Mus musculus: one gene and its partner. The protein of the gene in region 1 interacts with the protein of each later gene in a pairwise test. Links are inferred from orthologs where the notes say so. Each region holds a gene or a part of one and is shown on either strand. Other genes may lie near its edges. The genes, in order: Setdb2 and Arl14ep.

Region 1 (3,825 bases):
GGAGGTAGGTCTCAAAGCCTACCCCCATGTGACATTTCTTCCAACAAGGCCATACCTCCTAATAGTGTCACTCCCTGAGCCAAGCATATACAAACCATCACATATGGGGAAAGCAAGTTTATAATACATAAAGCAGATAAAATTCACATTAGGGCCTTAGAAAAGCATTTATTTATTGTCTATAATAAACAACAGTAGCATTATACCGCATATCCAGTATATAGCATTAGTAGAAAGTGTCAGAAATCTTCATTTTTCATACCTCCATTTGTGGCAGACCCATCCTTTATCTTCTGTTTCAGTGAATGTAGGACATTTTGTGTTTTCTCAAACATTAAGTCAACTTTACCATCATCTTGTAGCTCCATCCAGAAAGTCTTTGCATCACCTAAGAGTTTAATAAAAATGCACCAATTTCCTTAAGGCATAAGTTACAGGAATAAACTATCATTTCTAAACAAAAATTAAGATTCAGTTGGTCTAACACTTTCATTGAGGAAAAAAAGATTTGGATCATATTTCCTTACAAAAATCAAGAGAAAGACCCAAGTGTCTCACACATTGCTGCTAAATTTAAGAATCTATCAGAAACTGGTGCTGGGGGTGTAGCTCAGTTGATAGAGGAGTACTTGTGTCCCATTGATGAAGCCCTGAAATTTTATTATGTTCAATTCTGTATAAAACTTCATGTGGTGGAACATCCTACAATTCCAGCACTTGGGAATAATAGGAAGATAAATTTCAAGATCATCTGGGGCTACACCGTGAGTTCAAGGCCAGCATATGTTACAAGACAACCTATGTTAAAAAAAAATAAAAGTAAAAAATTTGAATGACACTTATTTCTTAACTGGAATAAAGGAAGAATTATCCCAGGTCAGAATCATAGTAGGGCATGCGTAATAGATAACATGCATCTTTAGCATTTCCAGGATACAACCTCTATTATATGTAGAAGTAGATCATTTCAGAATAAAATATCTCAATGGCCACTGAAGTAACCAAATGTCTAACAATATTACAGTGGTTAAGAGTGCATACTACTATTCAGAGAACCTGAGTCTGACTCCCAGTGCTAATGTTAGGCAGTTCACAACTCCAGCTCCAGGGACATTGGCAATCTGATGCCTCTGGTTTCCACAGAACTGCACTTATGTTTGTTCTCTATCTGTGTATATGTGTGTGTGCGCGTGCGTGTTGTCTCCCCCCACCCCAAATATAGACAAAATAAAATTTAAAGTCTTTTATATTAACTTTACTTGTATTTTTTTTTAATGCAGAATTTACACAAATTGAGGGCCATCATTTTTGGCATACAGTAAACTAATATCTTACTCAAAGCTTTTCTAGAAGATTTTCAAATGGAAAACAAAAGACACTACGAGCTTATATGTAAATCAATAAATAGTATTAGGGAAATGAAATTAAGTAACATTCCTTTTTACATGAAAGGCTCCATATTAGGGACTTACCCATATTAGAGGTAGGATTTAGAAATATTTACAAACTGCTTTTAAAGAAAATAAAGTATATATGTACAATGGATACTTTTTAGCCATAAGAGGAAAACTGAAGGAGGATATGTAAAGTAAAGAGAGTCAGAGACAAAAAGTTGAGGAGGGCATGTTCAAACTCATGCTGGTTATGAGACAGCTGGTCTTATAGAAGCTAAGAACAGAACAGTGGTTATTCACAGGTAGGGGACAGTGGGAGGGATGAGGAGAGGTTGGTCAGCAGGTACCAAGTTACAGTTAAAAAGGAGTTCTGGTATTCTCCAGTAGAACAGGGTGGCTACAGGTTATACACTGTGTTTTTAAAAGCTCTAAGAGGACTTTTTAAAAAAGGTTTCCACCAAAATGAAATTATAAATATTTGAAAAATAAAATAAAAAACTTATTGAATCCCAGTTTTAAAGAGAGGATATACCCAAATCTGAGCATTATCCAATATATATTTGCATTCACATATTATATGTTCCTTAGAAATAGTTACAATTAAAAATTTAAGAAAAAAAATTAGAAAAAATAAAAATAGCTTTTGTAGCATCAAAATTTTCTGGAATTATATACAAGTTTGTCATAGCCTGAGAACAGAGGTAGTGATGCCCAAAGGCATTGATCAAAATCCACTGGTGTGTTTGATTGTGTATCAAGTGGAATATTACTAGAAATGCCAACATGTTTTCATCGAATTATTCCGAAAGGAAATACTTGAAACAAAAAGTGAGAGTAGATACTTAGTCTTAGAACTGATTAATAAAGAGACTATGGCAATACAATTTAAGAAAACAGGAGTTTAGGCTATGCTCAGTGAAGTATGCTGAACAATAACTGGGAAATGGATTCAATTCCCAGTATACCACACACAAATTAATAAACTTTTAAGAAAACAAAGCCAATCAAAGAAAACATTGAAATTGTCTACATATATAACAATAGATGTAACTAAGCAGCTCACATATATTTGTTCTGGGTTTAAATACAGGTATTGTTCCTTCAAGCATCCTTATTATATCATACTGACTTTATTCCCAACATCTCTGCCTAGAGACTAAATCAACGAATTAAGGAGGAACATGAGTGACTTTCACTTCACTGTAAATATAAAATCCTGTATAAATGACTGCATTTTAAACAATTGCAGGGTTTTTTGTTTTTTTTTTTGCTTGCGGTCTTTACTTATTTGTGAAATGTGTGAATGTTCAGCTATGATCTATTAGGTGATAAGAACAAGTTCTACACTTGACCTTAACTAAAAGACTAAGAAGCAATAATAATCTAAAACTGTATATTTTCAAATACACAGTTGAGTATATTTCAAAAAGATCTCTAAAAGTAATATAAGCAAGTACTAAACTTATTTCTTATTCAACTAAGTATTAACTACTGCAAGAACATATCCATAATGAAAGAAGTTTAAGAACTTTATAAAGAAGATAAATATCACTATGCTAAAAGCTTGAAAAAGCTTGTCCTAGTTAGGGTTTCTATTACTGCAATGAGTCACCATGAAGAAAAAGCAAGCTGGGGAGGAAAGGGTTTCTTTAGCTTATACTTCCACACTGCTGTTCACTACTGAGGAGGTCAGGAAAGGAACTCACACAAGGTTCCTGGATATAGGAGCTGATGCAGAAGCCACGGAGGGGAACTGCTTGCTGACTTGCTTCACTTGGCTTGCTCAGCTTGCTTTCTTATAGAAGCCAGCACTTCAGACCAGAAATGGCACCACCCACCGTGGGCTGGGCCTTCTCCCATTGATGTCTAATAGAGAAAATGTCTTACAACTGGATCTCATGGGCATTTCCTCAACTGAGGCTCCTTTCTCTCTGCTGACTCTACCTTATCTCAAGTTGACACACAAAACAAGCCAGTACTGTCTTTGTCAAACAAGAAATACTCAGGAATCATAGTGATCTGACTCTTTCACTAAATTAATTATGAGCTACTCACTAAGTGCAGCAATGCTCACAATATACTGAAGCTTCAGGACACAGGGCTGCCTGACAGATGGGCCCCAGATTTGCAGTGAGTATGGCTCACCATCATGTAGTAAGTAAACTTAGTTAGGGTTTCCATTACTGCAACAGATCACCGTGAGTGAGTATGTCTTGGAATTTTTTTTTTTTAGGGTTTTTTTTTGTTTGTTTGTTTTTTTCCAGACAGGGTTTCTCTGTGTAGCCCTGACTGTCCTGGAACTCACTTTGTAGACCAGGCTGGCCTCGAACTCAGAAATTCGCCTGTCTCTGCCTCCTGAGTGCTGGGATTAAAGGCTTGCGCCACCACTCCCGGCCTTGAGTTTTTTTGTTGTTGTGTAACTCAACTGTAG
Region 2 (3,825 bases), on another chromosome or scaffold:
TTCGGTTGGTTGGTTCGTTTCAAATGCAGTGATTAGATGGACAGTTTAATTTTCTACAATTGACCCATCAAAAATTATAGTACTTTAAGGACTTGGATTTCTAAACATAAACTTCCTGAGTTCTAAGATGACCTTTCCCCCTCTTTTGAGACAGTTTCTAGCCCAGGCTGGCCTCCAGGGAGGGAGCTGAGGAAGACCTTGAGTTTCTTTTTTTTTTCTTTTTTTCTTTTTTTTTTTTTTTTTTTTTTTTGATTTTTCGAGACAGGGTATCTCTTTATAGCCCTGGCTGTCCTGGCTGTCCTGGAACTCACTCTGTAGACCAGCCTGGCCTCGAACTCAGAAATCCGCCTGCCTCTGCCTCCCGAGTGCTGGGATTAAAGGCGTGCGCCACGCCCCCACGCCCGGCCCGACCTTGAGTTTCTAATCAGCCAGCCTCCCAGATGCTGAGACAGTAGGAGTATTCCATCATTTGTTTCTACGGTGCTGGGACTTGAACCCAGGACTTTGTGTCTGATACAGGGAGTTCAGGGCAGAGTAGTCTCAGTTTCCTGCTGCAGGCCACGTGCACGCTGAATTGTGAATTTTCTTTCTCCTGTACTGAGGATCATTTCCACCTTGTTTTCTCCTTCACTACCCTATTAGATTCTTTCCTTGGGTTCCAAGTTTTGGGGTCCCTATAAGAAATGGCAACCAGCACCTCCATCTCTTTTTTTCTTTCTTCTTTCTCTCTTTGATCCAGATTGCCCACCGAGTTGAGTCTTATATAATACATAGCAGGGGCCATGCAGCTGCCTTCAGGGCCATGCAGCTGCAGTCATGCATTTCTGGCAGTCTCAGCCTACATACACTGGAGTCTCAAGGACTACAGTGTATCCTCTGCTTGTTAACGGATTTTGCAGGCCCTCATAGTACTCACACAGCAGGCCCCACAGTTCCTTGCACAAACTTTCCCTGTTTACCAGAGGTTAAACAAACATCTGTTTACCACAACTAGGCCACCAGCCACAAAGCTAAATAACGATCCCACCAGTGTAACCACTGGTGAGCTAGGGAGTTTGTTTGGCTTATGGTATTGAACTTTGGGATTATTTACAGGAATATGGGTAATGCCCTCATGAATGGCAGCCTCCTAGAGGTTACATCCTTGAGTCCTTCCTGCAGTTATCCTGCCAGTTCACTTCCTGTGAAGTGATTACAGTTCCTTTGCCATTCTAATCTCAATGTATCAGTTAGTTGCTATGGTTACCAGGCCAAGATGACAGTGGGATGATTCCCTATGTCTGGAGGTAGAAGATGGTTGTGGTATGGCAACCTCATAAAGGTTTGCTTAGGCTTTTTATGTGTGATTGTTCATCTGTGTTGTGTTTGTTGATCCAGAAGAAATTTTTCTTTTTTCATGTTAGCCAGTAATCCTTTTCACTTTGGTGTGTAATGCCATCTATTTACCACAGTAACACAGGACCTCGTCATACACCAAACCCCAGTCTGTTTGTCTGCACTACAGCAGTACCATAGTGTCTTTACTTAGCTTTCTAGTAAATCAGCCCTTCTTTACTCTCACCATTTTTGGACTTGTACTCTATCTGCAGTCAGCTTCCACACTCAAGCAGGATGGCAGAGGGGGCTTTCCATTTGTGTTTTGAGTGAAATAGTACTGAATTTGTAGAATTCCATAAAGGTCTTTTGTATTTTTTTAACATTTGTATATTATGTAAAGCATACAGTGTGTTAGTTTCCAGCATCGTTGTTAAATCCCCTACATATTCTAAGCAGTTTTTCTGTTGAATCTCTAATATTTCTCATGTGAATACTTCTTGTTTATTCTACTTCGCTCCCATGTAATGTGATCTTAATGTTGTAGTTGTGATCTCAAGGATTCTGGTGTAGATCTGAGCTGACAAGACTTTTTCTCCCATTTCATGATTAAATACATTCATTCTTTTGGTATTTCCTACTACTCCATGTTTGCTGTATTTTGCTTTTGTTTTCTAAAGAAGCTGCATTTTACTAACTTTTTACAGTTTTCCAAATCAGAATTTTCAGTACAAATCTGTCTTTTAATCTTTTCTTTAGGTTGACCTATCAAAGAGATTTCTAGACAAAATAAAAGAGGGGGAAATTGATAGAATCAAGGACGATGGATCCGTGTTCAGTTGGAGTCCAGCTTCGTACCACACACGACTGCCATAAAACCTTCTATACTCGGCACACAGGTTTCAAGACATTGAAAGAATTGTCATCAAATGACATGCTTTTACTTCAGCTTAGAACTGGAATGACACTTTCTGGGAATAATACAATTTGTCTCCATCACGTAAAAATTTATATTGACAGATTTGAAGATTTGCAGAAGTCGTGTTGTGACCCATTTAACATACACAAGAAGCTAGCCAAAAAGAACCTGCACGTCATTGACTTAGATGATGCCACTTTTCTGAGCGCCAAGTTTGGAAGACAGCTTGTACCTGGTTGGAAGCTTTGCCCCAAATGTACCCAGATCATCAATGGAAGTGTGGACGTTGATTCAGATGACCGCCAGAGACGGAAACCCGACTCAGATGTATGTATAGAGGCCATTGTGCTTTCTACAGTGTGGGACTTTAGATATATGGAATAAATATAAGAAATCATATTTATCATATTCCTGTCACGTTCATTAGCATATACCATTTAATGTTGAGGTGAAATAGTGATGTTTTAAAATGTTTCCATACACTCAAGGTCCAGAATGAGCAGTAAACAAGGGCTTAGAACAAAAGAACATCATGTGTCCAAGATTTCAATGCTGCCTTGAAATCTGTTCTTAAACCTTGGGAAGGAGAGTTTAGGAATGGTCTTTAGAACACTGGCAAAGACCAACTTAGGGAACTTAGATCCTTTTCTGTTACTGAAGTAACTAGGTGAATATTGGCCTACTGGAGACTACACACCAGGGAGGATGTGTGTCTTTGTCTAGGACTAAAGCACAGCTTTAAGGAAAAGAATCATAGAAGTGGGTAATTGTTGATTTTGGTTTTGGTTTTGAGGTGGGGGCCTACTCCGAGGCAGACTGGCCGGGAACTCAGCATGTAGTCAAGACAAGCCTGGCTCTCTTGACAGTGGTCCTCTGTCAGCCTCCCTGGACTGGGGCCAGGTCCGAGGCATGGTGCCCAGTAGTCAGGCAATGTAATTTCAGGTTTTCTCCTTTGAAGATGTCTGGTTTGAGACCCTGGGGTTATTTTACATAACCAGAGTAAACCTGGCCTCCAGGGCGGACTTACTGGGAAGCTGCTCTCAGGTGGGCGAGTCCCCTGGCCCCAAGGACCGAGGCCAGCGAAGTCACCATGGGGAAACGGCAGGGGGAGGAGGGTGCACACCAAATATTTGAGACTTTTAATGTTTCTGTCTCTAAGTTCTGAATATAGTTAAGGTTAAATGTAGGGCTCCCTGTGCTCAAAGAGCACATAGTTTTTACAAGTGTGAACTATTTCATGCCTTTTCCTGGGTCTCAGGCCTGTACACAGTCATTTCTATCAGGAAAGCTGAGGTCTGTGAAGATTGCGTTACCCACAAGGAGCACTTCTTCGAGTTTCTCTCTTTAAGCATTCTATCTTTCTTGCTGCTGGCGTAGTTTCTCAGTTTTCTGCTTTTTGTTGCATTACTAAACCAAATTAAAATGTTAAGTTGTGTGTATTGTGTTCCTCTCAGGCATATCTCCAGGACCCAGCATTATGTGAAGTTCGTCATAGATACTCGATGATTCTAGACTTGGATGTCTTCACCTCATCTCTCCATTGTTCTTACATGACTGACTTCTTTACCACATAATCTTGGCTTTGGGTGTAT

What was found.
Region 2: the proteins of Setdb2 (region 1) and Arl14ep interact in binary tests that used the Homo sapiens proteins (3 or more experiments, as listed by UniProt). The two-hybrid records come from large-scale screens. The link is inferred for Mus musculus from reciprocal best matches to the Homo sapiens genes SETDB2 and ARL14EP.

What each region holds. Positions count from the first base shown.
Region 1 is NC_000080.6:59,430,881-59,434,705, forward strand, and holds part of Setdb2 (histone-lysine N-methyltransferase SETDB2), read right to left. Parts: intron 389-3,825; coding exon 263-388; intron 1-262. Other genes in the region: Gm45935 (Setdb2-Phf11c protein), read right to left, coding at 263-388. UniProt on the Homo sapiens protein: Histone methyltransferase involved in left-right axis specification in early development and mitosis. Specifically trimethylates 'Lys-9' of histone H3 (H3K9me3).
Region 2 is NC_000068.7:106,967,807-106,971,631, reverse strand, and holds part of Arl14ep (ARL14 effector protein), read left to right. Parts: intron 1-1,240; exon of another isoform or gene 1,241-1,321; intron 1,322-2,073; 5' UTR 2,074-2,137; coding exon 2,138-2,560; intron 2,561-3,825.